2 linked regions of the Lepisosteus oculatus genome follow. The protein of the gene in region 2 purifies or fractionates together with the protein of the main gene of each other region. This does not show direct contact. Links are inferred from orthologs where the notes say so. Each region holds a gene or a part of one and is shown on either strand. Other genes may lie near its edges.

The links.
Region 1: the proteins of slc9a6a (region 2) and mblac2 purify together in Homo sapiens (co-immunoprecipitation; 3 studies listed by BioGRID and IntAct, counting the BioPlex papers as one, with this or other methods). This does not show direct contact. The link is inferred for Lepisosteus oculatus from reciprocal best matches to the Homo sapiens genes SLC9A6 and MBLAC2.

What each region holds. Positions count from the first base shown.
Region 1 is NC_090698.1:72,663,625-72,678,564, forward strand, and holds mblac2 (acyl-coenzyme A thioesterase MBLAC2), read right to left. Parts: upstream 8,157-14,940; 5' UTR 7,797-8,156; coding exon 7,355-7,796; intron 7,239-7,354; exon of another isoform or gene 6,516-7,238; intron 4,094-6,515; coding exon 3,708-4,093; 3' UTR 3,597-3,707; downstream 1-3,596. Other genes in the region: polr3g (DNA-directed RNA polymerase III subunit RPC7), read left to right, coding at 12,241-12,360, 13,674-13,803, 14,307-14,363. UniProt on the Homo sapiens protein: Acyl-CoA thioesterases are a group of enzymes that catalyze the hydrolysis of acyl-CoAs to the free fatty acid and coenzyme A (CoASH), providing the potential to regulate intracellular levels of acyl-CoAs, free fatty acids and CoASH.
Region 2 is NC_090703.1:48,905,188-48,921,127, forward strand, and holds the start of slc9a6a (sodium/hydrogen exchanger 6a), read left to right. Parts: upstream 1-9,350; 5' UTR 9,351-9,399; coding exon 9,400-9,796; intron 9,797-11,342; coding exon 11,343-11,542; intron 11,543-13,653; coding exon 13,654-13,731; intron 13,732-14,161; coding exon 14,162-14,238; intron 14,239-14,488; coding exon 14,489-14,601; intron 14,602-15,132; coding exon 15,133-15,238; intron 15,239-15,940. Other genes in the region: mmgt1 (ER membrane protein complex subunit 5), read right to left, coding at 6,317-6,476, 6,983-7,086, 7,200-7,252, 8,106-8,268. UniProt on the Homo sapiens protein: Endosomal Na(+), K(+)/H(+) antiporter. Mediates the electroneutral exchange of endosomal luminal H(+) for a cytosolic Na(+) or K(+).

The sequences.
Region 1 (14,940 bases), on a different chromosome or scaffold from region 2:
CTTTGCAACTATTTGAGTTGCATTGAACTTTCGACCAGTAAAATGCCAATTCAGTATCAAGCCACAATCATGTTAAAATGTTAACATATTCTCAATACAATAACCTAAATAATACAATTTCATTCATTTAATGCCCACTTGCTATACATCTACCTTAACCAACCAGTTTTCAAATTTAAGAGCTTAATTTAAATAAGCATGGTTCTACTTATAACACCTGCTTGGTATCGGGCAATGACAATTAACAAATTACAATTTAAATAGCTGTTTCACATTACACAGAATGTTAAATGTTTGTTTTTAAGACAGGCTTTATAGCTCATAACCTCAGAAATTTTAGAGCACAAAACTAAGCCTGCGACATAAAAATATTTTAAAATACTATATATATATATTCATAAAACCATACAGGAGGCAGCTGTCTTTCAGACAGAGAAAGCATTGGTTTCTTTTAAGCAAGCTACAGTACATCACATTTGAAAGGATACTGTGCAAATTGATTTCTTCAATAAGAGAAACTTTCATTAGCAGACTCAGGCAAAAGTACAACAAAAGATTAGCTGGGAGAAAACCTCCCATTTCTTCCAAAAAGATACTGTAGAACTGGCTTCTGGCACCAGATTCCTCCCCCTCCCCAATTTTCCTGTTTTTTTCCAACATGTCACCTTGTCCTATTTTTGTTCTATTCTCCAATAATTTTCTCTGACCCATGTGTGGGGGAATAGCCCACACAATGAGAAGTTAGCTGTAAAATAGCCATAGTTGAAGGGGAAAATACTTTCCCGTCTTGTTTTTTTTTAAAATGTATATACTGATATTAGTTATGATCATGACATATAGTTTCACACAACACAGACATTGTTTTGTTGCTGGCTGCTCAGAAAGTGGCGGGTGATCATACAGTATGTGCAGAGCTGTGTTAACCGAGTCGTGTAATTGAAGATTACGCTGTTACTCTGCAGAATTCCTTCGTGCTGGGTTTATTCCAGCTGGGCTGCTCAGAGCATAGCATGGTTGAGCACTAAGGGCAAAACTGGGCTTATAGCCGGCCTTTGCTTCTTGTCTAAGCCATGAAAGTGTCACCAATTTACTGCTGCTCGTTCATAGCCCTCAAACTACAAAAAACGTCATCCCTGCTACAGCATGTACATCTGTGTTCCTGGAGACTGGTCAGGTGTGTGAACCAGTGTCCTGATACAAGAGAATGGGCAGGTTGCATGGTTTGAGAATCTGTTCCTCAACCTTGCTCAAGACAAGGTAAGAAGCTGTTAGCCCTTAATCCTCAATCATGTTCTATGAAACAAATACACTGAGTTAAAACCACTGCTGTTGTCATTTCCTGTTAATTATATTACACTGTGAACTGATGAATACTAAAGTCATTTTTTTAAAGTGATATGATGATGTTACTAACACTTGTAATGGTCCTCTTTTGAAAATAATACCCCAAAATAGACTGGACAAAACAACAGATTTGCATTACTTTAAAATCTCTTTTTTTTTCCATTTAGAATCTCAGATTATTTTTGTGATGCATTTGGAAAAGCCCACTGTGGGTTTATGGTGCGTCTGTCCACAATAACGAACCCCACCACCACACACGGGGGAGAGTGAGGAAAATTAGGCGGACTCCCCCACCCCACCCTCCATCCAGCTTTATATGATGTCACATACGACACTACTGCCTACTGGAGAATCAGTGTTGATTGGAGGTCGCCTACAGGACTGCATGTCTGTACGAACCCAGAAGGCCACATAGGTCGCCAAGAGCCAAAAGTGCCCTGGCCAAGTAGCCCCACCCTCCCCTTGGTGGTGCTCAGCAGAGCCAGTAGTGTGCCAAAACTCTGTCGGGCTTGAACCCGTGTTCAAAGAGCAGCACCTGCCCTAGGGCAAGAGCCTTTACCAGCTGAACCTCTCAACTGGCCACAATGCATGTAAGTATATTTAGAAGTCCGCATAAAAACTGGCTTTGGTCAAAGCTCAAGAAAGGTATTTTCGTAACACAAAGATGGTGACTCAGAAAGTTAAATTCAGACGATTGTTGAGAGAAGTGTCAGCACAAAAACAAGGTGGCCAGTAAGAATAAATGTGATTTTGCAACTAATGCTCACAAACATGCATGATCTTTGCATGTTACTGAATTCCAGATCTGAAAAAACAAATATTGCAATGCTCAAACTGTCCTCTGCTGTATAATTAAGTGTGTGACAGTGTTCTTGACACATCTCAGAAGCTAAGTGAGCCTGGGCCAGGTCAGTATGGGCATGCCCTCTAAAAGAAAAACAGCTGCTCTAAGAGATGTTAGAAGACCAGTAGGTGGTGCCGATTCCTCTGGACCTGAATTCTCAAACCGGTTCCTCAGTTTGCGGGGACACCGTGCTATAGGAGATGGTGTTTGAATTAAACAATTAAACTGACGTTCAGACTACACAGTCACTACAGATCCCATAGCTCTGCTTGAGAGAAGGAGTCCTTCCTAAACTCCACGCTGCGTTTACACAACATGTCCTCCTTAAGTCAATTCTCTCATTAGTAAAGTACTGTGGGATTCTTTGGAATGGTTAGAAATACTGTTTTAATGTTTTAAAGTCATCTACTAAAAATCAGTGCCTTCTTATGAGAAGAACTAAAAATTCCCTTTAACTAACCTACATTCAAAAACAAGAGGGGTGAAGCTCTACTTTAAGTGGAAAAAGGGCAAAAGTAAGCTCAGGGGTCAGGTGTCCAAGTGTCCAAGTTTACCCCCATCACAGCACAGGACAGGTTTTCTAGCAATTATGACCACCTGCCTTCTCGCGTCATCCAGGGAAACACAAGTTAAGTTGAAGTTAAACACTCAAAATTTGAAACTCAGCATCAAGATTGCACAGAGATACAAAACAGAAAGAATCTGAAAGAATCATTCTTAACTGAATAAAATTGGGTTGGTAAACCACCCTGAATTGCCACTAAGCCAGTCAAAAGCCTACAAGTGCTTTAAAAAAGTCCTTGTCTTTGCTTATGATACTGTGGTATGAGTGGCAGCATGCTGGAGCAGTGGACTGTGCCCTCACTTCACAGCTCCAAGGATCTGGGTTCAAATCTGGCTTTGTGTGAGTGAACAGTCCACCTGTGGGGCCTGTTGTCGTGTTCTCTGAACACTTTCCTCTCCACCCCAGTAAACATGCTGCCCAGGTAAATTATCATCTCTAAACTGCCCCATGTGTATGAACATGAGCCCAGAGGCACACCAGGGTCCTGTCCAGCGTCACGGAGCTCTGGACACACAGCGGCCACGGAGACCAGATGATGGACGCATCAGTGAGATCATTCCATCTTCCACAACAGCAAACCAGCATCAGCCAAAATAAAAACTTGCTTCTCCATGTCTCACGTGAAGACGAAATTCCCAGCAAATGATATGTGCTCCGCCACTCCTCGTTTCATGCTTTGGAAAGCTACAGAAAAAAATGCAAACGTGCTTCAAGTATGTTTCTTTGTACCTCGAGGCTTAAAGCTATACACTCATCCATGTGCAAACCCAAATCATTGCATTTGCAACACGCACACATTTAAGAATCAAAACTAGTGCAATAATTACCATTTCAAAGTCAAAATTAGTGCAACTGCAGTACTGGGCTAAATTTTACGAACACATTTCATCAATTGAGACAGTTAGCATAAACAAAATACTGTAAACGTATAAAGCAGCCGTTTGCCTTTCCCAGTCAACACCCGTGTCTAGAATTGCAGGCACGGAGAACGAGGCTTGCGACGGACTTCAGGGCACACATGGAAAACCGGTGGCACCCTCCCGCGCTGGCGATGTAGCTGGAGGCGATGCGGTACAGCCGCTCGGCCCCAAAGGTGTTGAAGTGGCCAGGCAGCACCTGCTCCACGTGGCCCCCGTCCGCCAGCTCGACCAGCCGCTCGCAGCTGGAGACGTAGTCGCTGACCCTGCTGTACGGCAGCCAGTCGATCATGGAGCCGTCGTACACCACGTCCCCGCTGAAGAGCATCTTGCGGTCCCTGTCGTGCAGGCAGATGCTGCCTCTGGAGTGGCCGGGCATGTGCAGCACCGACAGCTGCCTGTCGCCCAGGTTAATGACGTCTCCTGAGGAAACAGCAAGAGCACCTTCTTCAAGGAGAACTGCAGTCCCACTTTCTCAGACCTCTAGAACAACTCGGAGCCGTGGTAGCGCAGACGGCAAGGGCGTCTAGCTCCTGACCGGAAGGTCCCGGGTTCAATCCCAGGTAGGGTTAAGCGATGTAGCTTGCCCTAATTCCTTCCAGACGGCTCCCAGCTCCGCTCAACCTGCGAGTACCGGGGTTAATCCTTCCGGGGGAAATCGGTCAGCCGGAGCGTGATGCTGACCACATCACCTCCAGTGTCGGATGGTCAAGAAAAATGGTGGCCCTTGCCCCCCTATCCCCAATGGGCCTTTATGGCCTGTAAAAGGACCTACCTACCTGTAACAAACTAAATCAATCGACAGTACAGAAGAAAACTCACAAATTTCAAAGTAAGCACAAAACCGTGCATTCGGAGTCGCCGTGTTGTGGCAGACCCCTGGGAACTTATTCGAGTCCCCAAGAATTGCAACGTGAACCGGCCCTTCCTGCTCACTAGTTCCTGCCCTGACCAATGCAATGCGATGTACGAGCGAATAAGTACAGGTAGCGCAGCCGACATTTCACCGCAGAATTATTCCAGCGTGATCCCCATGCAGAGCTAACAAGCAGTATTTGTCTGCAAAACTGTCTCGAAGTTGAGACAATATTTCTATCGGATGAAAAGAGCTGTATGCACAAGCCGGCTTATTTACAACGTAATGGGGCCACATCATCTCACCACAAGTTTTGTTGCCTCGTTGTGAATGGCAGGACAGGGCACTGCACATACCTGGAAATTTCATGTATTTTGTGATGTCAATTGGAGGTTTTACCAGTTACTGTGTACATCAATGCTGACCCCGAAATATGAAAATAATGTTACAGTCCCCCTTTAATATTACTGGTGGGCTGTGAAACTTCTCACGGACACGCTGGAAGAAAATCCCTGGGAAAGTTTGAGTCATCTCAGGGAAAATGGAGGCTGCTTAAGGCTAGGAACTACGGATGGTTATTCTATGGATAATCAATATCCCTCAGTTTTCCCTATTAGTGTCAATAAAACATGATGTCACTTTTCCTTTCCATCTAAAGCAGGGATATTTTTTCCACATCTCAGGTTCCACAATCTAGTAGAGCAGCCGTAGGCTCTGTCTGTCTTTCTACAGGAGAAGCTATTCCGAGTGGGTCCCAGCCAAGTCACGTATTTCAGATGTGTTAGTTCATTAAGAGAAAAGACTTTTACAGCAACTGCTGCTTTGAAGATGTGCAATACTGATGTCACGGTATCACAGCTGGGCACTTTCCTCATTCACACTCTCTCATGTTGTGAATATAAGGTACAGGAAGAACAGCTTACTATCCACAGTAAAGGATTTCCATTTTACTAGTTGTTATTTTACCAGCTACTTGCATGCAAACTTAATTTTCACTTCCAGTTCATTTTCTTAAAATCCTAATTACTGCCTTCTTGTCCACTTTGATTTCGTTTTTGAGGATTTTTAAACACTGCATGTGAAATTAATGAATTAATGTATTTCTGAAGACAGTATGTGGGTTGCAAGGTAGTAGACATCTCAGATTGAACCCTGCTGAGAGTATTTTCAAAGTGTCCAAGTCTTTCACTAGTTTTCTGCTTATAATAGAAGGGCAGAATGGTCAAGGCATGAGAGACTGACCTCAAGTCTAACGTCTGAATATGTGTAAAGGTTAGTGCATTCTTTCGTGTATCTCCCAAAAGCTTTATAAAAATGCCACTTCTATACAAACCCATGGTCACATTGCAAACTGTACTGGTTTTGACAATGACTCTCGTCATTTTGTACGTTTCCCGTTGTAAGTGAAATAAACTCATGTAGGCTCCCCATATACCAGAAATAATTTCTGATATATATCAGAAATATCAGCGCTTGCAGATTTGTCTCTTTCAGCAGGAACGTCGGTGTCCTGCAGCTGGGTGTGAGAAGAGCTGTGCCGAATCGTACTGTGCCAACAGTGGGATCACTGAAGTATCAGTGAGAGGACAGAACAAAAGCGCTGCTGTGAAGGTCATGTGCGAAAATATCAGGCCAGAGTCTCCCAGGTCCAGTTACTCTGTTACCGGAACTGGCTGAAATCGATCCACAGCGGCCCGACATCGCCTGTCCCGGTCTGCCCGGACGAGGGACGCCACAGAACTTGCGCAGTCCCGCCGGGACACCCCCCAAAACACCCCACTGCCACGGCGCGATCACCTGTTCACTGCGCAATAACCAGCTCCTGGTTAGGAATAATAAAGGCAGACGTGCAGTTATTCCAGTAGTATCTCCCCGTAACCCCAGAGATATAGTTCTCTCAGAGAGTCTAGGATATTTAATTGGGAACGTGTTTTTTTCTGCACCGCCGTGCTTTGACAAACTTTTGGGCTACAGTGTTGCGCGGAACCAGCAGCAGAGCGAAGAGGCCGTTTCAACCCCCCGAGCGCTGCTAGTTGGAGATACAGTATTATTCCCTCTCTGGTGTCTTCAGGGGGGTGGAAGATTGTGACTATAGTGCAGGCAGTCTGTCATCCTTCTTGTAACGAATCAAGGAGGCGGATGAATCTGTAGAGATGCAGTTCATCGGATTTGGGACCGATTACGCTCCTTAACGCAATTTTCTCATTGCTCGTCTAGAATAGCAGTGTGTGGTACAGGAGTACTTCGACCCGGTACCAATGCTTTTATTTGCTTCATTGGCTATGAGCCCTAAACGTCCAAATCAATCGGAAAGGCACAGATCGCATAAATACACCGAGCGCAAGATTGTGTTCTGGATATCTTTTCCGTTTACAAAAAATACCCCCAAGCAACAACGTTAATGAAATAGTTTATTAGAGATATAACGCCGCACGTCTGTGGAAACCTATGTTTAGTTTTTGATAATACTCAAGCTCGTCTTCTCGATGCGACACCGGAAAAACGAGAGCGCAGCCTGCGCCCTCCCCCACCTTCCTCGCCGTATGGCGTCTTTAAAGCTCACTCCGTCGGGCCGAGAGACGCTGAACGTACCTCCAGCAGGGCGACAGATTAGCCCTGCTAATGCGAGACGGCCTCTGTGTAACTCTGCTGTTAATTAAGCAGATGCCACGGGTATTTTTCGCCACTTGTTGAAAACCGGTGTCCGGAACGGTAAGGCATTAGTTTACCTTATCATAACGCGCAATATGACCACGCACCGCACCGTCGCCGTCCCTTTCACGCACAAGCGGCTCTGGTGCATGCCTATATGTGCTAGAGATATTCACCTTCTTGCAGTACGCGAGTGGGTCGCACAGCCTGCACTCTGAACTCGCTGGCCCGCCAGCCGGGTGTCGGAGCCCGGGCGATCTCGCCGTCCGACAGCCAGGTCACCATCTCAAAGTTATCCCCCGTGGCGAGCGCGTCGGCCTCGGCTCTGTGAACCCCCACCTGGCGAAACTGGTGCAGCCCGCCCGAGTGGTCAAAGTGGACGTGGGTCCCGATCGCCAGCGGGGGGTTCTTCCGGCCGGACTCCTCGCCCAGCAGCCCCTTGGCGCGCAGGTAGTCCGGCAGGCTCCTGAGGCCCAGGCCGGCGTCGATCACCACGTCCTGGTGCGACCCGCGGACCAGCCAGATGTTCGCTCTGTTGCCCGACTCGTAGAACCTCTCCTGGATCCAAAACACGCCGTCGCCCAGGCACTTGTGAGCGTACCACTCCGTCGCAGACATCCCGACACCCGCCTCCCACCCACGCGTAATAAAATAAAGACACCGAGCTGTCAGGGACGTGGAGCCCCGAATCCAGACTCGGTCCGGTCCGGTGAGGAGGCGCAATGCAAACCAGGGTTGGCTTGTGCAGAACAGGAGGAGACCGCGACAGGCGCTCAGCCTGCAGGGAGAAAAAGCAGCTGAGTGGATAAACAAGGTCCGAGGGGCTCGTGATTGGCTCGGACCTGCGACTGCGCCCCTCCGACACGCTCCGGCCACACCCGGCGGCTTAAAGGCGCAGCCCTCTCCTGCTCGGTGCGGACTGCTGTCCCTGAACCAAAACCAGCCGGGATCCCGCCTCCTCGGTGTTGGCTTTGCGGAGGTTTCCTACTTTCAGGACCTCTGAAGCGCCTGACAGACGGGAATATAGTTGCGCTTTTGTTTCTAGTCGGTGTGAACGAGAAGCCCGATAATATCATTCTTTCCAGAAGACATGTAGTAGTAATACACAGCATATAATGGCATATGACCGATAAGGAGAATATATGTCCTGTAGTCAGAGGGCAATGAAAATGAAATGTTAATAAATTGAGTTATAGTGAAGACCCGCTCATTTCCTATCAAAGACCCTGTAAAAGCTGCTGATTGTATTTGAAAGGGAGGTGGGTCGCTCCAGAATACCGAATATAACGTAGAAAAAACAGGCTTCTGAGCTCCACGACACATTGTGAACCTGCTAAAAATATTATTATTATTATTATTATTATTATTATTATTATTATTATTATTATTATTACGGGGCCATGCTTAAAAACAATATTAAATTATGTTGCAGATGCATTGTATGGTTTCGCAATGTTTTAAGGCTATTTTCTTCACGTTCTTTAAACGCGTGGTTTATTATCTGAAGTGTTTATGTCACGCCGGTGTTTTTTTCCCCTTAGTTTCAAGTAGATTTCTAGGTGAAAAATGTTTTACCGTATTAATTATGACTAATTCGTTAGTTTTAGTTCACTAATCTGGGTAGGTTTTCATACAGAGAAGTGTTTATCACCCGTCTCCGAATTAACAAAAGTTAATCTCTTTAAATTCTGCCGAGCAAGGGAAACGCAGTACTAAGGAATCTCTTCACAAGGCACCTGTGGCCTCTCAGCTATGTGTTTCAATACACTGGCAAAATCTGACTTTTTTCATCCTCAGACTGGTAAAGTAACGTGCTAATTGCCCTTACTATGAATACAACTTACCTATGGGGCGTTTACGTGACACCCTGGTATTCACACTCTGTATACTGATTTAGGTCTACCGTTTTATTTCTTTGCCTGACTCCAGCATTGCTTGTCCAGCTTCTGCTACTGTAGCTGCACTGCCATGGTATTACATTTATTTACCTGCCCCGAGAGGCTATACGAAAGGATCCGTTTTAATCTTGAACAGAGAAACGTTCAAAGCAGGAGGCTATTCGACCCACCTAGTATTGAGAACTTGATTCCAGTATTCACAATTCCCCGATGCACTGACAAAGACGGGGACCATTGATCAAAATCAACAGCAAAACACCAGTGCAAATTAAGTGCGTCTATGGGAGGGGGATTTAAATCTAATTACAGGGGGGAATATTTACAGAAAGGGCTGTGGGGTCTGGAATAAGCCGCCCAGTCATGTTGCCAGAGCCGACAACCTGACTTCCTTCGCGAAAAGGGTGGACCTTTGTATCAATTACTTACGAGCAACCGAGCTTGTCATCAGAAAGGCCGAGTCGCCTCCTCCAGGCTGTAACCCGTCTTATTTTCTTACCTGCATGCTCCAGCACGAGTGCTCTCTGCACGTACACTTAAAAAATAAATTAGATGTATAGTTTAGGGCGTCGGGTAAATTATGCATTTGTTCATGATGACGAACGGCTCACTCCCGGGAAAGTCGCGGCAGACTGGAGCCATCCCGGCAGTTAAAGGACTCCGAGTGGCCATACAGTATATCCATCGTGCACCGGCGCACACAGACACTCGAGGACAACTGGGAGACGCAAATTAACCCTATCAGCATGTCCGCGGAAGGTGAGAGGAGGTCAGGTCCCCGGTGCAAACTCCACGCCAGACCAACAGCTGTCAGACAGCAGCGCCAGCTGCGAGAGCACTACCCTACCCTACTCCCTCGTACCAGTTTTTTGTGATCACAAGTAAAGAAAAAAAAAAGTCCGACTTTGATTTTAAATTTAAAAAATCATTTATAATCTTTGTGTGGTGCCGGGTCGCGTTCTCCACTGTAGCGCTTTCATGCTCGTGTTCGGTGAGCTACCACGCTACACTTCGCTGACGGGGCTGGAAATGTCCCAGGATTGTAGGAGCAGGTATCGATCGCTGTTTCAGAAGGCGTGCTGAGCCTGACTGGCAACTGGCTTCTCAGACCTCCTTTGAAAATGAATGAAGAATAACCGCTGCTGGCGAGCGGAAAAGACTAAATATCCCAATAATTACTTTGGTAGGTAGCGCCGCAGATCAGTGTTTTTACTCATTACGGTTAATGTCAGCTTTCATAGTATTTTGAATTAAATGCTTTTAATTTAACTGAACAGTTACGTACATGTTTGACTATTCGTACTGTATACGCCCATATCACAAAAAAAAATCATTGTTCATTAAATGAGAAGATTTCTAAGTCAGCCTCCACTCCACTTTGAAGATCGATTTTCTGGAATTTTCACGAAATGCTTTTGCTGTTATGAATATTATGAAAGGCTATTTTTTTAAGCGTAAATTTGGTTAAATTAACGAGCGCAGTCTGTCACTGCTGATAAACAGTTTAAGGATCTTACACCTGCTAACTGGAATTTAGGCACACCACACCTCTTGTAGCAATCTCTGTACAATCTGAGTTTGCGGCATATCAGTGATCTGAGCAATATTTCTCTTATATTAGTTGTAAACATACTGTATACCGTAGCCTGGACAGTGAAACAAACATTGATCTAATCTTAGAGGACACATTTTCAGCAGAAACAGCTTTCGCAGGTACTAGTTTTCCTTAAGTGCTCATATTAATTGGTTATTCCTAAAATGTGTCTATATTAAAGATCATGGTGGTCTCTATAATATGCTGAATCATGGTGTTATGTGAATTTGTGAGCTTTATGATCAGAGAAGGACCACTTTAAAATGTTACTTTGCATTTAGTTTAGTCAGATTAAAAGTGCTAGTAACTTTTTTGACGTTTTTTATAGACATAACTGTGAAACATAACTGTATGAAATGTAGTAGGAATTAAAGGGTATACAGGTTGTGGTTTATTTGGGTCATATTTTAGGCTTGCTCTGCTATATGAAATGAAAACTTAGATGTTAGCCTGTTGGCCATGGTCTGTTAAAATTTCATGATCGGGTTGGTCAGGACTTGTGGTGAAGTTTCTGTTCCAGGATCACCATGGGCCTCAGCATTCACCTTTAGAGACTTTTTGCAGTGAAACATTAAAGTATAACAAATAATATTGTAGTAAAGGTTTAGACATACAGTATAACATTAAGCATATCACCGTTTTTTTACATTTATCAGAAAAGCAGTGGGTCAAATGGAAAATCAAAATGACAGCTGAATTTGACTTGTTCTACAAGTTTCTGATTGGCTGCTGCATTTTTCTTACTTCCCTGTTACTGAGAAAGGGATCCTACATATCTTTCACATTTCAACCGTCTTTTTACAAATGGATATCGTTGAGGACTAATTCTATAGCTGTGTATCTCCATCGTACACATTTCACTGATTGAAACACTTGGTCTGTCTGGATTCAGCCATGTTGTAGCGATTTGCTTCGTGGCTGCAGCTTCAAGGGTTATTCTTGGTTGAACTGCACAGCCTTCCTTCTAACACAGAATCGTTGGGGTACAACCCAAGACCACACTGGGACACCAATAGCCGTCAGGAGTGACGGGTTTACGTCGGTCTTCCATGGGGCTCAGCTGGTTGAGATGCTTGCCCGTGCGCAGGCTGGGTTCTGTGATCACGGGTTCAAGCCTGGGTCGTGCAATAAGCTGCCTGAAACTTGAATTTCCTAAGCAGCAGCGTTGCGTTGGCCGTGATCAGTGTGGGCTTGTCTCTCAGGGCCCTCTGGTTTGCTGATAGAACTGCGTGCAGAGACGCACCTTTTCTCCGTCCAGCACTGACCCCCCCCTGCAGGGGGTAGTTTGTCTTTCAGAAACCCTGCCGTAACCGCAGGCCTGCAGAACGCCTGCAGTGGGAGGCTGTGTCAGTGTGGTGTTGTCTGCCAGGGAGGCAGGAGAGCTTCCGTCCACGCTGAAAAGCAGAACGAAGCGGCCGAGCCACCCTCAGTGCTCAGTGCTCCTCATCCAGTACAAGGACAGAGTTCGACACTCCGTGGGGGGAGAGGAAAATTGGGCAACTGGGCATGACGCCGGTATGTTCACGGGCGGAGACTCGTCCCAGCTAAGCGGCGCCTCTGTTGCAGGGTGAAGATGGCGGGAAGAGGCCGTGGACGGGGTCTGGCCGCCTTAACTTTCAATATCGAAGCCCTCGGCCTCACCCGAGGGGAAGCGCTACCAGAGACCTCGTTCAGGCCGAAGCCCCTGTTCCCGGTGAGTAGCACGTCCTGGAACCCGGGGCTGCGCTTCTCTCGAAAAACCTCGAGCGGTGAGCAGCATGTGCTTAGAGGAGCAGGTTATCATGGCCATGAACTGTGCTAACACATGCAAAAACCACCAGGCAAGACTGTGTCTGCTCTCCGTCAACACTTAACATGTGCAGTACTGAACACAGGGGGAATTACAAACGAGAGGCCATTTAGGCCATCTAACCTCTGTGGGTGCTAGGAGTGAATTGTTTGAGGATCTCATTCAGCAGTTTCTTGATAGAAGCCAGGATATCAATTTCAACAACATGGCTGGGTAGCGTGTTCCATACTCCTACAACCCTTTGGGTAAAGAGGTGTGTTCTTTTCTCAGATCTAATATCACTTCCCACTTGTGTCCTTAGATTAGTGTTTCGCTGTTGATTCAGAGGAAGCACATTAAGTTGACTCTGTCAGTGCCCTAGGGGATTTTGAATACTTGATTCAGGTCCCTTCTCATCTAATTAGTAATAATTAGTAATTATTATTGACATAAATGAGGAAGTGCAGTGGTCTTAATTCAGATCCATGTGGTACTAATATTGCTAATGAAATCAAATTAGAATTGACCTCTTACCTGTATCTTGTGGGTTATCGTCATATTGCGTGGTGAAGCGCTGTCCAATCAGTATGGAAACATTTTCTTCTACGCAATGTTTATGAAAACTCCAGATTTCATTCTAATGCTGCTGTGTTTAGTTACAGAGAAACTAAAGAAGAGCGAGCCAGTGGCATGCATGCCCAGGCCACGCTAACAGCCATCAAACCGGTCTTGTCACAGTCTCAAATGTAAATGACTTTATGTTCCCCATGGGATACTGGATGCATGTAGAACAGACTGCTGCAGCTCCAGCTTCAAGCCGAAGGGCTGATGATTGCACAGTTTCAACAGAAGCCATCAAGCTCTGTTTTACTTAAGTTCATTTGAGAATATACTCTTCTTCCCTCCGGACTCATGTTTGGAAGATGTCAAGGCTAATTTGGGGCATCCTTCTGCTTCCCTCGGCTTTGCTCCTGAATAATGCTGGGAGGTCATCAAAGCTGTAGGCATAGCTTACTGTGCAGTTTAGAGTGGTGCACCACCTCAGGCATGTGAAGTGTCCGATTACCATCTTGCGCAACAGAAACATCAGTCAGATAAAAGTACGTCAGTGAACATTGGTGTCTCTTCTTGGCACATGTGGTTTTGTGGAAGGGGATGCCGGTGACAAGGTCCGGATTTATTTTTTTTGCCCGTTGTGACCTTGACGGAAAATCCATTGAAACCGTTGCTGGTGACAGGATGTGGACTTCAAGCCAGTGCCCTTGAAAATGGGAGAAGACCAAGATTATATGCTGGCCCTGAAACAGGAGATGAGGGCTGCAGTGAAACTCCTGCCTTACAACATACCTTTGCCAGCTGAAAAGAAAGGTGAGAGAGAGGAGCTTCACTGAACAGAATGCACTTTTCACATCCTTCAGGTTTCTAATGCTTGTGATTGAAGATTTAACAATTGGAATAAAAAAAAATATGGTATATAAGAATCTGGTGCAAAACTTGAGACCTTTATAATAACTGTACTATAGGGAAAGAATGGAATGTACTATTACATTTGCCTTTAGAACAGATGTTCAGTTACTTTTATAGCCTCAAATTACTATACCCCTCCCCATTCACAAAACAAAAATCACATTAAATTGGACGCTAACATGCTTTCTGCACTTACTTAATGAGGTTAATCCATCCTCTTTTGTGGAAATGGGCCAGAGTATAATGAAATAAGGGAAAAGACATACAATGTACAGCGAGGAAGACCATCACAATGGCCCCTCTCTAATGTGTTTTGAAAAGTATTACACTTAACCTGAAGCACTTCCTGCAGTGCATGAAAAGGAGATCGACAAGAAATGCAGCACTGTTTTGTTTCGGTTTAGATGTGGAAAAATACACAAAGGAAAGAAACAGAGAAGGGGACAACACCTGGAAACCAGGTATGTGTGTGGACAAGTGGACTGCTGTGTGGAGCTCTGTCATTTGATTAAGTCTATCAGTCTCTCTGAATCTCAAAGCCAATTTAGCAACAGAGTTGTTGTTATTACAGAAAATGCACATTTTAGTTGAATGAATATTTTTGATGAGCTTTTAAATCTCTTAAACTTTCAAGTTGGTGCAGTTTAGCTGATGCTCAGCTCTTGGGTCAGAGTTTTACATTTCTGTAATCTCCTAAAGCCTACTCTGATCCTGTCATGGTGTTCTGCACTGAGCTGGATTATCTTTCTGGGCAATTTAAAGAGATTTAAAGAGGGAGTGTTTCATAGTTTTTGTTCAGCTGTGACAGGAGGCTGATTCCCATGTGGGTGACATAAGGGGGTTTTTAGAGGTTGATTCTGGGGAATTACCTGGGACGAATCTAATTCCTCTTGAGCGGCATTTGAGACTGTTACTATGATGGTATTTTTAGTTCCAAAAAAGGGAAGATTATGTCTGCTCTGACTTTTAAATTGACCTCTTCCATTAGCTGTTATTTACAGCCCTTTACTGCAACACCTTCCACCTTTTCTGCATTTA
Region 2 (15,940 bases):
ATTTTGTTTTCAAGTCTATGAAGACAAATGAATAGAATTATATAGGTTTACTGGTCAGAAGGAACAGTAGGTGAAAATGCAGTACAAAAGTATCTACTACTATAGTTAGAGTGTATTTTTATAAACCCATCATCTTCAATACCTGACTGTAAGATCTGGATATGTCATCCTAATCTCTTTCATCTGTTTTGTTTAATTTCATCAACAGCGCAAAAAACTAATCCGTTACTCTCTCGCTGAAAAGTGTGCACCTTTCAGCGAAAGCACCTTTCTGTGAAACAAGAAGCAGAAATTACAATGAACTCTGGGAATTGTAGTTCACCCACAACCCTTGTGTACCTAAAAACAGGGGAAGGGGGATGAGAGAAATACAATTCCAATAGGTAGTTTTCCAGACCCTGTAGCACTAATTCAAGACTTGCTTCTCTATAATTAACATTAGGTAGCCCAGGATTAGGGTAATCAGGGTCTGTGAAACTCATGGTCAGTGGTCTTTCTGTCTGACCCATAGTTATTCATCCCTTAGCTGTGTTTTGTTTTCCAATTTTTGCATCTTTTTAGTGACCAGAAATCATTTGAACGGATTTTTAGGAGTCACACAAGGAAGAGAGTGAGAGCAGTATGTCTGGCATGCAGTCACAGGGGTTTTGGCAAACGTGTCATATGTGTGTCACATGGTGATCAAGAGCACACATAGTAGGCTTTGGCAGTTACTATATTCCTTTTTGTATTAGGGATTTTTTACTCTTTTTCAAGTTTAAATTATTTCTGTAAAAGAAAATGCTATGCTGTAGTTTCCAATAAACAGTAATGTAGTTAGGGCTTGGCCCAAGTGTATTTAATCTAAGCTATTTTAGCTAGTTATTCTGAAATATATTGGTCAAGCAGAAAGTGTTGCTCAGTACTGTTACTTTTAATACCTTGGACCCAACTGCTTAGAGTTGGGGTCAGTTCTAGTCTTTCTATTCTCATACAGTTTTAAAAAAACATCCTTGCTTTTGCTCGCTTTTAATGTGAAAATACAGCTTTGTGAGACATTTTTAAACAGTTTTATTTTACTTTGAACTAATGTCAATATTTTTACAAACAAAATAAATTACCTTTCCTCTCAAGGAAAATTTCCTGATTCGTCCGGCATTCTTTATGTAATTTTTTTAGAAGAATAAATCTGCACTTGTTTTAATAACCGTTAAAATAACATGCAATAATGAAACAAAAGTCTAATCCAGAGTTGAGAACAAAGACATAAACATTTTGTATGAAGCAGCATTTCGTGTGGGCTGACTCTGCAAAGTGAAAAAGTGACATCAGAAAGTTGATCAAATTACGAGCTCCAGACTTTGGCATTTAATACATTGCTGGCTCTTACCTCTGAAAATGAATCCTTTTTCCTGTGCAGATCCTCTCCAGGATGCACCGAGAACAGGGATATGATCCAGACTGGACTTTTTTATTCCGATTACTCTGTCCAGATGTAATGCCATACTCCAGCCACAATTCCAGATTGATAATAAAGCGTTAATTTAAACTGAAACACTTTTTGTTATGGCTACTAAGCAGTGGAGTTAACGTGGTATGTGTGTACTTACTGTATTCATCCGAAAGCATTCTCCTTTTCTCACAAGAATAACGTTCTTGCTGGGGTTTTAACTGAATGTACTAACTCTGTAGTCATTGAAAACTTCCTTCAGCACGTATGTGTACAATACTATTATCAGATCTTACCAAGCTTAAAGGCATGGCTGTTGCATTGGCACGTTTTTAACAGGTCCACGTGGTTTAGTGCAGAATCCCTGAACCTAGGGCTTAAAGATTTTAATATTTATGATCGAGTTTGTCAGTGGTGCACAGAACAGGACAGTGGGACAGTAAAAAGGTGTCCTGAATTTCATGGGTGTGCCTCCTTCTGGCCAGTATAATCCTTTCTCTCTAAACTTCACAGTCCTGGGCTGAGGCTTGAGATCAGAGCTCTGATCAGCCCCACTTTCTTTCGCTTCCCTGCTATAGTTTGCCCTGTAGTTTCCCCACATTCACCCCTGTCATCTTCGCCTGCCTTAAAACCGGTGAACGTGGCTTTGAAAATGATGAACGCATGTAAACTAAATCAATATCCTGTGAGGAGGCCGACCAGGCTGAATCACTGTTAACATTGGCTACTACCGTTTCTTCCAAGAATAACAGCAGACTCACTGTTGGCGTTGGGATGTAGTCGCAGCACCACAGCCTACTGGGTTCATAACCTGGAACACACATTGTCGTCCTGCCTTTTGCAAAACTAAGTGAAGGGAGCCAGGGTCACAAGTTTGTGTTTCTGGCGTGCTTTGGGGGGAAGGCATAGTTAAAGCCCTGTGGTTGACTGCCATTTACTGAATCAAAGGGTCGACGTTACAGACCTTCAGAGTGGCAGCTCTTTTTCGTAGGAAAATGTGAAGGAACGTGAGGCCCTGATTGCCCCCACGTTTTCTAGCTGCTGTCGGAAAAGGCCCGCTTTGTCACATCGGCCCCACGTTCAGCAGAACCAATTAAGACCACACTGTGCGGCGTCAAGTCAGGCATTCTGAGCAAACGCAAGCTACCGAGCACGTGTTTGGTGCACGTGTGAAAACCCGGCCGGATAAGCGTGAAAGCCGAAATCTGTGTATTCCTCCAAGACCAGTCGTTCAGTTCATCAGTTTTGAGATGCGCACGTAATGCTTAATACTCTTTCCTTTTCTCTTTGGAATCTGGTGGATTGCGATTTTTTTTATTTAAAGCACAAAAACCCCAAATGGTGGGTCTTTAAATTGTTGAACAAGCGGAAGGAATGTGTGGTTAGTTAGGGAGGGTTTTTTTTTTAGTAAAGAGAATTCCACCCAGATCTCGGCACAAAATACACAGCTGTTTGGGTCCATGTAGCAATACCTTAGGGTGCAGCTTGCCTGCATGGCCTGTGCTATCCACCACGTTACTGGGATTGTGACCAGAGCATGTGCACTCTCCCTCCTCGGTCTGTGACTTGAGCTCTTCAGAGGAGCACCTGCAAACACATGTCTTGTGCTTCAGCAGCACCGGAATAAATAAAAAAGAGTTTGTTTTTGAATGAAAGATGTGTATTACTTTTTAATGTTCATACATGGAAAAAAAATAAAGAGATTATTTTTGGACAGTATTCTTACCAGAGCTTAGAGAAGCAAAATATTTTAAAGAAAAAAAAAGTTGTATAAAGATTTTGTAACTGTTATTATATATGAAATGGAAAAGTTATTTTGATTTTTTTAAAAGAAAATAAATATCAGAGAGGTAAGATTGTTTGAGTGTAATTTTATGTTTTTATGTGGTGTGTTTATAAAATGTGTTTGTATTCTTGATGTTTTGGGAAAGAGCTAGTTTTCCCTGTGTACAAAATCCTTCCTTCTGCTGTTATATTCCACAGATTACATTTAATTATTTTTGCATTAGGGTTGAGAAAAATTCATCATTCTAAACTATTAGACGAATTATTTGCGGTTAGTTTAAATGTGATCCAAGTCAACATGCTACTAAGTAAGTTGTCAGTTGTCCGAACACAATATTAAAATGTTAAGTAATCATAGGGAAAATGATATTGCTAATGAAAGACTAATAGAACTCATATGTCATAAAAGATGTTGAGAAAACATATTTAAATCCATCTTCACATTTTATATTCAGGAAATCTAGGGTGTGTGCAAAGGTCTTGGCAATAAAAGGGGATCTATCTCAGGTTTAAGTCCAGAGCTAAATGTATAACAAATATTTAGAAAATACAATGCAAATTAGGTTCTACTTTCGGAAGAAGCTTTTTAAGTTGTGATCCATGTCGAATACAGCTGGAATTAAAGGTTTATGGTGGTGGCTTGTAATCTTTACAGCCAACATACACCTTCTCCTCTTTAAACACTAGCATCTCAAAGCCACATGTAAAGATAAGATAAGATCACTTTATTGGCCATATACAAGTTCTTGTATTAGGAATTTTGCATACCCCAGCTTGCTCTCCATGAGACACACAGACAGGGAGAGAAGCTGGGGGTCAGAGCGCAGGGTCAGACATTTTATACGGCGCCCCTGGAGCAGTTGGGGTTAAGGGTCTTGCTCGGGGGCCCAACGGAGTAGGATTCCTCTGTCGGCCGCAAGATTAGAACCGGCAACCTTCCAGCCACAGGCGCAGATCCTGAGCCACAGAGCCAGCGCACCGCAAGTGACAAGTGACAATCATTCAGATCCCCCCCATCCTAACTTGGAACAAGAGACTTGTCCTCTAATTCAAAGATTTGAACTCAAATCCCAGATATTACCATTGAGAAGACTTTGAAATCAACAAACATGTCTTGATGGCTGCAGAGTAAATCCATTCCAGGCATTCCCAATCCCAATCCCGATCCTGGTACCTACACATCTGCTGGTTTTTGTTGCATGTCAACACCCCATTAAATAATCTTAAAATCTTTAATTTGGACTCCGTCAGTCCCTCAACATGCAGGAGGTTACCTTTTAACCAACGCATTTCTTAAACAACTTAAAATCTCCAATCGTTGAGCAGAAAAGGAAATTACAAAGTGCCCATCCAAGCAAATTGTTTGTTCAATTAAGAATTAAGTACAGAGCTCAGCTGCAATGAAAACCAGCAGATGTGTGAGTTCCCAGGACCAGGACTACAAGAAAAGAAAGCTTTAAAGAGATTGCCTTAACACGTACAGCTTCTACAAAAGGAAGCACCTGCTGAATGGTACTTGGTACTAGAGGTCATGCAGCATTTAAATGACTCCACAACACTAGGGACATGCACTGCTTCATACAGTCAAAACTGGGAACAGCCATATCACCCAGCTCACAACTGGCAGCCCACTGAAGCTCAGCAGGTGTGAGCCTGGTCACTACCTGGATGGGAGACTTGTGGGAAAAACTAAGGCTACTGCTGGAAGAGATATTAGTGGGGCCAATAGGGGCCACTCACCTGCAGTGAAACTGTGCTGTGAGAAGGCGCCATCTTTTGCATGAGACGAAAGATCCTGACTCTCTCTGGCCATTAAAAATCCCAAGGTGTTTCTCGAAAAGAGTAGGGGTGTTACCCCGTTGTCCTGGCCAAATTTCCCAATGGCGTTTACCAATCATGGCCTCCTAATAATCCCCATCTTCATCACTCTCTTCACCTCCTGAGAGCTTGTGTGTGGTGAGTGTACTGGTGCACTCTGGCTGCTACTGCATCATCCAGCTGGTGGTGGAGGAGGAGAGTCCCCATTACCTGTAAAGCTCTATATAAGTGTGAGGAATTATTATTACTACATGTACTGCTTAAATATGTGGCCTTATGAAGATAGCGTGTTACATGATTCATACAGTACAAGACACAAATTGCAACAAATACAGCAATGTTAACCTGTGCAAAGAGTACTGAATTTTGACCTCTATAGTCTAAAAATGACAATCAGAAATTTCACATATTGACTTTATTTGTTTATTAAAAATGTATAGCAGGCTCAGATGAATCTGAAGTTTCAATGGTTCTGCTGAGAATATGGTTGACCACAAGTATAATGATTGGAAGTCATGAATAAAAGCTGGGTTAGGTAACATTCCTTTAGTTTTGAGTCAATAAAAAATGAAAACCGACTACTTTATTTAAAAATTATGCATATTTACATAAAATGAAAAAACGTATCCCCAACACACTGTTTTTCTTACTTTTTACAACTGAAATGAGAAAAAAAACACATTGCTGCAATCTAATTACAATTGCCTTACTTGCCTACTTTCGTTAAGGATTTCCAATAACAGTTTTACATCATAAGACTAACTTCTGCATTCTAAAACCCAGAAGATTAACAATTAAATACCATCTGTGGAAAAACAATCGGGTTTACAGTTTCCATCCAGAAACTTCACACTGCATTTGTTCTGCCGAGTGTGGGGGGAGAAAAAAAAAGAAACACAGTTGCACAGATAAAACATTTCAAAGCTGAAGCTTTGGAAACGACATATTGAGAAGGCAGTGTTATCGGTTGGTGGGAATAATAAAGGGATTCATGTCATATCCCGAATAACCCATTCACTTTACAGCTGGGAAGGAAGGAAGGGATTGAGGTCCTTTTACAACCTTAAGCCACCAGACCTTTATTTACAAGCACGACACCCCTATAGGAGGGCAGCTGGCACCGTCCAATACAACATTTTAACCGCTTGTCGGACTGGGATGTAAAATCGGCACAGCACATGTATCGAGATGTTTCTCTTTTTCTTACGTTTCATTCCCTCCCCCCCCCCCTTCACGTCCATGAGCAGTTTCCATTTTCACATGGCCAGGAGAACACCCAGAGGCTCAGTGGTGTGATGGCTCCAGCTTCCGAAGCCGCAGGGGGTTGGAGGGCAGGGCCTGCTGGCTGGGAAGCGAGGCGTTCTGCTCCGGGGAGCGGAAGAGCACTCTGCCACGATGGTTGAAGAGATAGAAGGAGGGATGGTTCCGCAACGTGTCGAATGTCCTGGGAAAGCAGGCAAGAACAGGGAGATTAATACTGGCTCCTAGGGGCACAGTGGATACAATGAAATACAGCACAATACTGTATTTCAGTGTTTGTATTCATAATTAAGATTAAAAGTGAATTGTGTGCATTCAAACCAGCCTGTATACCTAGCTTGTAGCATAAAAGGGAGCTGACATCAGCAATCATTCTGTGCAGATCAGAATGTTAAACAATAAATGTATCCGTGACTATCCCTTGATTTCAGGCTTCTGCTATGAATATGGCACTGAACAACAGCAATGTGCTTTTTTTCATTTTACATTTTACTGACATAAGCGACTCACAGGCCCCAGGAACCCTTTTAGATTTAGGACTTGTCATTTACATGAATCATATATGTAATCAATACGGTTTCAGAGTTTGTGACGTAAAATAGGTGGAGTTGGGCTAGAGGGGCTGGCTTAGCAGTGCAGTGCATGTAAATTCTATCATCTAGGCCCTTCCTGATGGCGAACAAAACCTACTTGTTCTTGAGCTCCGATGTGGCGTCCATGTCTTTAAACTCCCCAGCAATGTGCACAATGCCATAACAGGTCACTACGAAGGCCAGCAACGTTTGAAGAACTATCTGTAAATGCAGAGGAAACAAAGAACAAGCCTGAGAATGGTTTACATCAGACGATGTAATTGTGTACACAATCCGCAATGCCGGCACGGCGTGTGAGCACATCACACACTTACGTCACCAGGGAGAGTTTCATTCTCCTTCTCCGTCAGTCGCATGTAAGATCGATCTGGAAAACAACGCACATTGAACAATCACAGCCCCAGTGCGCTAACTCTTTGCACAGTGAAATAGGGTGCTGGTACGCGCCTCGGGATACGTTTTGCATCACTTGAGGATCAGAGGTATTGATTACTTTCATTAAGCAAATTTACAGCAGTATCTAGCCAACTATTAACACTAATAGGATATTTCACTATCCCACTGGGCACATCTGATTTCCATGAAACTAAGCAGTTTCAACAAACCGGTTTTGTGCCTTACATCTGCGTATACACACTTTGGTGCTTCTAACTGGTGATGTTATGCATTGGATGAGCTACTCTGCCTTGACTTTTTTACAATAAAAATAAATGACTATTTTGGAAAATTACTCTCGGCACCACGCCACCCAACCAGTGTCGGGCTGTTACTATTATCGATATTCTCTACTGCCAACAGCGATTTGAAGTAACAAAATACAACAGTTTCAAATTCACATTTCTTTACATTAATGTCAACACCAATAGAAGCAGCGCAACGGCTGCGCTGAATATAATTACCGGTAAATACCACATTTACATGATTTCATATTCTAGCAGTAAATAAAAAGCTTTTAAAATCATCACGAGTCCCAGCACACCAAAGTGAAGATGTTAAACTTCAAAATTCAGATGTTTTCCATAAAATATGTTGAGGTACCCTGTAATGTTTGGTGTCATCTAATTTAAAAGGAGAAGGGAGAGCGCTATTCGACGCAGATGGGGCCTGTCTCTCTTTGCTGTTAAATGATGTCCAAAATTAAAAAAAAAAAACAAAGCACTGCCGCAAGAGACCCTCAACATAAACACGTCAGTGAGCTTTTCTAATATGATGTAACTTACGCTGAGCCGCCGAGAAAGCTGCATGCGCTAAAGCGAAAAGTCCGATTCCGACAAGACCTTTCCAAACAGACGAAGCCATCTTCATCCAGGGAGTAACAGGGAGAGAGCTGTCAATGTAGCGCGATAAAATGTCGTAGGCACAGATGGCTGGGCGGAAGTACATGGCGCGTAATGATGACGTCTCGATAGGCGCTTGGGTCCGGACGAATGAGGCTAAAATTATCCTCTGATTGTATTTGTATTTGTAAATTATTTACAAGTTTAATAAAAAATTCTTTTAAAAAAAAAAGAATGAGGCTAAAATTCAATGTAACTCTGATTTCAAAACGTAATATACAATACGGCTTCTCGTGTAAAATGGAAACATTTAATAAAATATAGTTTAGAAACAGGAATCTCACAAAAATAAATTAGAAGCGTCGGGATAATGACAGCATGTAATTAGTGCGAATATTTGATCTATAATATTTGATTTGCAAACCCAACGGGGAAACCTGACTTTTCACTAGATAATTCCAATTCATCAGATTACGCGACAATCCGGTTATATTATCCAAAATACTATATTTTTAGATCGAACCTGACTACCAATAGGATCTAAAATATTCACAAAACTATTAATGCCCCCAAAGTTTACACAACGTGTTTTTGCATATTCCACAATCACGGTCCCATGTAAAAATAATTCAAAATTCTGTACAGTGACGAATTGCTTTAATGTTTTTGTGTGCTGATTTAAACGAGTTGTTGAACAGTTAATAAACGTTTCGGGTCTTCTTCTTTGTTTACTTTTGGGGGGGGGGGGCATTTTCCTTCGAAAACCAAACGCGTAGACAAATAATAGCACGGTCGTGCTATCTGCGCTAAGGTCTTCATTATTCTAAATCTTGTTGCTTCACACGAGGGTTTTTAGTATCGGGGTCGGGAGACACCTGCAACAAAACATTGTTCTTTTACAATGTGAAATATCTACTAATAACTAGCACAATCTGCCCAAGTCCCTTCTGGTGCGCCTGGCGGCCAACACATCCTTACATACTGTATGGCAGAAGCTTACGATCAACAGTTGTTTTATAATTTTATAATTGTTTTATAATTATAATTACAATGGAAAAAATATTCAATTGGTTCTTATTGAGAGGGGCTTACAGAATAAATGGTCGTCCAGTCTGCGGGGGGAAAAAATGTGGAAATTCTCTTATCCAGTTAGTATGATGAGCACAAGTAATTCTCTCTCACTCTCTCACACACATGAAGTTGCGAGTCTGAGCTCCGCTTTGCAGCGCTGGGTCACATGACGAGCTTCCCCGGGCCAGCTGGGAGGAGTGAGGGAGCCGAGCAGGACCAGCCCCGACCCCGGCAGGCGGCGGAGAGACGACAGCACGCATCAGGGGGCGCCGTCAGCACAGCCATGGGCTTCAAAACTCAGCAGCCGGCGGCCGCGGGGGTCTCCGGACGCCTGGCCCTGTCCGTGATGGCGAGCCTGCTGGTTTCCCTCAGCCTGAGCCGGGCCGAAGACGCCGGCATGGAGAACATTGTCACGGAGAAACAGGCAGAGGAGAGCCACAGGCAGGACAGTGCCAACCTGCTGATTTTCATCATGTTGCTCACCCTCACCATCCTGACCATCTGGCTTTTCAAACACCGCCGGTTCAGGTTCTTGCACGAAACTGGGCTGGCTATGATTTACGGTGAGGATCCTTCCCGAGCGACCGAAACTGCGGTGCCGTGATGTCGGATTTATGGGGAACTAGTGAGAACCCGCGTCTCTGTATTGCTGGTAGTAGCAGTCATGTGCGGTACAACTGTGCCCGCTGTTATGTTGTGCCATTTGTAGCGTGTTTACCGACAGGTCAGGGCCTTCTTGTGTGAGTTTAATGTCTCTGGTCCCTGTACGAATGTTGAGCCTGATAACGTTGTTGCTACAGCTACCACTTACTCCTGTTGTACATTTGTATCTGGGGGCTATGCACTGCCAAAATGCGCTCGTTATTTTTTCAGACGCTAACAACATCAGCGCTGTGATTGAGCACAATACGAAGCCAGAACAGTTAATTATAAACCCCTTGCGTAGAAAAGGGGAATTTTCCAGACGGTTGGATGGATGGGGACTGGAAAACTTGGTATTTTATTTTCTATTTACGCAAAGAACCGCACTGGAAGGTTTTCTTCTCGAGTCAAGACGCGATGTTGGGGGATTAAGCAAGGCTGCTAAATGTTTTAGAATTTCCCTGTAACACGTGACGCTTGAAAATAGCGTCACTGTCCGAGGATAAGGTGAGATATGTTCGTTTTTACGCATTAGGATGCTGCTCAGCGCTCATACCCAGCTACCTTCTCAGTTTTCAAGTTGGGTTTCCCATGACCGCCCAGGTTAATCAATTTACTTCCTAAGCAGAAACCAAGCGAAACGCTTTTTTGTGTATTCACTGAGCTGAATACGTGTTGCAAAACTGTTCTAGAGAAGTATTGTCTTTGCACCATCTCCGTGGAGACACAAAAAAGCAATTACTGAAGATCGCCTTGCCGTGTTCAGTTTCGCAGGAGAGTCTGGTTTAGCCTCATTCCGGGCAGCAGTCTTCACAAACCTCTTCCGTGAAGGAGAACTACTGTCTCGTCCTCCGTGCTGAGCAGCTCAAACACCGGGGAAGTTTTGTTTCCGGCAGCGGGCAGAGGAAGGTGGCAGAATGTGTCGGTCCTATTTTTATATTTAGTGGTATGCGCCTTATTTGCTGAGACGGTATCGGTAGTTGAATTAACACATTAATAACTGGTAATCATATTGCCCTTACAAAATGTTAAGAAGGTGTGGCGAAATGGCATGAACTCCGGTGATTAGCGGGTATTTGCATGGTTTAGCAATGGAGCGCTATCAGAGTACAGGGGTTTTGCTTAAGCAACCATGCCTTGGTGAAATGTCTTTTTGCCTGAACAACTTGTGGTCCCTGTGACACCCTAGGCTGAGATGATAGCACTACAATGATTTGACTTTGTAAGCCCTCATATAAGGCCAGGACTAAAGGTTTAGTCACCCTTAAATTGCTTCATAATCAAGTTTAAAAGCCTGTGGTCATTGCTTTATGACTTACCTTGGCCTTAGCTTCTTAAAAGGCTTCTTCTGCCATACTGCCAGGTATGTCAGGTTCCAGACCTTGGAGAAACCTGGGGTGTTTGAGGGGACCCCAGGACGAGGGCAGGGAGATGGGCGGCACCCTGACTGTGTGTCCGTGTCCGCAGGTCTGCTGGTGGGCGTGGTGCTGAGGTACGGGATTCACGTCCCCAGAGACATCAACAACATGACTCTGAGCTGCCATGTCAACGCCAGCCCGGCCACCCTGCTGGTCAACGTGAGCGGGAAGTTCTACGAGTACACGCTGAAGGGCGAGATCAACGCCAACGAGGTCAGCAACGTGCAGGACAATGAGATGCTCCGAAAGGTAAGGTGGACTGCGCCCCGCCCTGTGACCCCTGACCCTTGACCCGCGGCTGGGGGAAGACAAGCCTGCTCTAACCGGCCACACTTCAGGCTCTCTCACCTGCGCTCGCTTCTCTGGGCCTCTTGTGGCATCATCTGTCCTACCTGAGGTCACGCAGAGCTTGGTCCCCAAGCCCATAGCAAATTAAAGTTGCAAAAGGAAAAGGAAAATGTTTCAGGTCCAAATTTAGCTCGGGTACATACCCTGCATGACTTCTCTTGTGTTCCCCTTGATTTTTTTTTAGACAGTTATTACAAGACACTCCCAGCTGCATCCCCTGTTGTTCTGGCGCTAGTTAGAAAGCACGTCTTCAGAAGTATTCAGAAGTTGCAGGCTATGTGCAGGCCCCTCAGGACACCTGGTGAAACTTTGTATACGTCACTGCGTTTCCATCATGAAGTCACCCAGACGGGCCTTCCTTCTGGAAACTCTGTAAGCACTCTGTGGGGTTGCCTTTGACATCGTGTTAAGGCATGTGGATGAGGATTTTTAAGGAAACTCCATAATTTTCCGTTTTTTTGTTAACGCAGATAAACGTGCGCGGATAAAAACGCACCCTGTTGTCGCAAGACTCATTCGTGCCCTTCGAAGAAATCTCTGTCCCGTCTGCCTGTCGTACAGTTAGCTGTGTACAGTGTCAAGGCTTCAGTTAGCACTGACAAGGCGCAAAGTCCTTGAAGAATTAAATACGTTCCTGCCAACTTTACGTGTGTGACATACACCCGACAGAGGAACTCCAGACCTCTGCACAGAGCATTTAGCAGCAGCAGGTGTTCCAGGTTTAAAGACAATGGGTGTTTGTGTGGACACTTGCATGGGGCTCATTCAGTTCAGTTTATTGCCATATGGACAAGTGCAATTAAATCCTCTTTTTATGTGTTGGCATTTGCAATTGTAGGAGATTTTTGCACACAAGTGTGCTTAGTACATTTCAGAATGTTGCACTAATTGTTAAAGTCTAGTGTATGAAATAATTACGTTGTATTCAGATCTCTTTTGTTTATTTAATATGACTTTTACTTCTAATCTAAATGACATTTGCTAGTTCTGCCATGGAAATTTACACAGTTCCCCTCAGTGCTTCTTCCTAATTCACTCTGACTGTAACAATACCTCGGGGGCACAGGTTGAGTGAGTTATGAAATTCAAATGTTGTAACTCCATTATGCAGTAGTGAATGGCTTGTAGTGTGAATCAAACACACTATGTACACTTACACATCCTGGAACGAGCTGGGTGTATCAGGTTTCCCTGCAGCTGCACTGCTGGTGAGAACCGCAAGACCAAGGCCCGGATTAAACACCAGTTTGATCCAACTCGTGAATTCCACCCACCGGGGTCTGTGGAGGTTTTCCTCTGGGTGGACTCGAGAGAAGCCCCCGGCGAATGAAAGACCACCATGGGGTGATGCGTTTGGAGTTTGACGCTGGCGAGAGGGTGGCGTTGTGGTTTGAGTCGTGGAAACGCAGGCTTACTGTCCTTCTTGCTGCTGCTCGAGCAGAGCTGGGTTCTGCTGGGGCACAGCACGTGGACTTCGGGGCGCCCGGTTTCCCCCCCCCAAACTGGTTTCCAGCTGGGGAAGGTTGTCCTCCTGCCTTGATGGGCATCGGGATCGTGCAACATGCATTCCTGCCAAGTGGCACTTTGCATGACGTTCTAGTTACCTCGTTGTAAGGAACAACAAACAGGCTTTCTTGTGGAAGATAATTTACATATCCGCTTGCTGTCGGCCCACCGGCTTCCGTTGAGGCTTGCTATTTGCATTGGCATTAGAAATCACTTTTACGAGCTGTATTGGGTTGTGCCATACCTGAAAAACATCCTGTATTCCTGGCTGGGTTATATTCAAATCTAGTTCTTGTTTCCACTGAAAAAGCCTACGTTTTGCCTGCCCATGTAAAAAAGGTGCAAAATAATTGAAAAATCTCACGCCCTTGTAAAGGTTAAAGGCCTGTTTGTCGCATCAGTTTGATTTTTCTGTGTGGGTTTTTTTTCTTCCCTACATTGTATATGATACCCGGGAGAGTGGATTCCTGTGTCCTTGTGACTCTTTTTTTTTAACTTCTCTCCAGGTGACCTTTGACCCTGAGGTGTTCTTCAACATTCTGCTGCCACCTATAATCTTTCACGCAGGGTACAGTCTGAAAAGGGTGAGTAGGTTTTGAGTCCGCGCAGAAAAGGGCGAGTCGTATCTTTTGGGGAAAGAATGGGGAAAGTCGTTTCGGTCACAAAATTTGCTTTTGCAGTTCCAGTAGGACTTACAGGGCTTCTTTCAGAGGGGAAGTGAAGGACAGTCCTGCATCACAGAGCAGAGGAGAGCGGGGGCCTTCAGGGATGGAACCCAGCGACTCCGCTGTCATCAAACCAAAAGGAAACGGGAACGAACGAAAAAGCAATTGCCAAAACACGACTAGGAGCTATGCGAGATGAGAGTGATGAGATTTGACCCCCCCCAGAAGTTTGTGATTGTATAACTGGAGTGTCCTGCAGATCATATGAGGCTGAAGCAGTAGTTTCTGCTCGTTGCTGTCGGAGAAGTAAAATTAATTCAACCATTTTATCTTCTGTTTTCTGTTTCAGAGACACTTCTTCAGAAACCTGGGGTCTATCCTGGCTTATGCCTTTATTGGGACTGTCATATCCTGTTTTGTCATAGGGTGAGCAGAGATTGAGTAGGCTGTTATGGCCTCTGAAATGTTAAGGTGATGCCTGCTTGCTTTCAGAGATTTTTTTACTGCATTGCTCAAGACCTAGTGTGTGTGTGTGTGTGTGTGTGTGTGTGTGTGTGTGTGTGTCTTCAATATCTGAACTGTGACATGTTTTCTTCTGCTAGGAGAGTTGGGCAGGTCAGTGAGTTTTAATTCCTTCTCTCTTCGGTCTTTTCCTGTTGCCCGCATTCTTTAACAGGATGATAATGTATGGATGTGTGATGCTCATGAAGAAGGTCGGACAGCTGGGAGGAGACTTCTTCTTCACAGACTGTCTCTTTTTCGGGGCCATCGTCTCTGCCACTGACCCAGGTACCCACTTCGCCCCGGGTGGGTCTCCGCTGTCGTGTTGTTTAACGTCTTTCCTGGGTTTGTGATCATCAGGGCAGTGAAACCTTACAGTATACGAAGGGTTGCAACTGAGAAGAAGCCGTTGGAATCATCGCTCTGGTTTGTTTGCGAGTACAAGCAGCCCGGCACGCGGTTAGTTCTCACACCACCCAGTGCAGGCTCGTACCCGAGTCCTCGTGCTCCTGCGCTCCGTCGGGTCTGTGTCAGGAGGCGTGTCGCTGGGCTGGCGCGCCGCGTGCAGTCAGGCTCCGACTGTTGCTAATGCTTTCAGAGAAGCTCTTGGAGAATGCGTTGTTGTGTGTGTGTTACGGCTCTGCCCGACAAACTGCAAACAAGAGGTGGGGGCGTGCAGATCTCCGGTACTGGGAAGAGCGTCGGCGTGATCCGTGGCGGCCAATCGCAGGTCTCTGACGTGGCGGGGTCTGGCGCTGGCAGCAGGGCTTGACCAAGTGTTTCTCTCCCCTCTCCTTCCGGCTGCCCCCCCCTCCACAGTGACCGTGCTGGCCATCTTCCACGAGCTGCAGGTGGACGTGGATCTGTACGCGCTGCTCTTCGGCGAGAGCGTCCTCAACGACGCCGTGGCCATCGTCCTCTCCTCGTGAGTCCGGCGCCCGGGCGGCTGTCTTGTCTGTGCGGCTGGGTACCTGAGGCAGGAGGGGCAGGGGTTGCAAATCGCATCTTCTGTGCCAGCCTTAAGGTTGGGAGCTGCTCCGGGGCACTGCCCTGAAGAGCTGGTAACGGAAGCGGCCTGCCCACCTGATGTTGATAACAGAGTGGGCTAAAGGCTGCTGATGAGTGTGCTTGTGCTGTGGGTCTAAAGAATAACTAACCCCTGACCTGACCGTTGTTTGCTTGCAGAATTCTTATTTATTACGGGAAACGCAGGGCCCGCGAGGGGCTGGGGAAGCAGGCCGCAGCCTCGGCGCTGGAGTGGGGTCAAGGCGTGTCGAACGCACGGGGGATGTCTCCCAATGGGTGCTGCTTCAGAGCAGAGCAGAGGCCACGTAACCCTGGAGTGCCAGGACAACACGGGGAGCAAATTACCAGTGAGCCGTGCTTTGTGCGGCCACAGCTCTGATGGAGTCAGTCGCGACGGCCCCGGGTTCTCGCGAGATCTGGAAATAGGAAGCGCTATAAAAGTTACTCATCCTTCTTGCTAGACCTTGGAAGGAAAAAATGTCCCGGAACAGTCCTAGAAAACGGGGGGGGACTATCGCCTGAATAACTGAGATACACCCCAGGTTTCTGTGTACCGAGATGGGTGGTGAAAGCTGCTCATATTTACACCGATGAGCTAAAT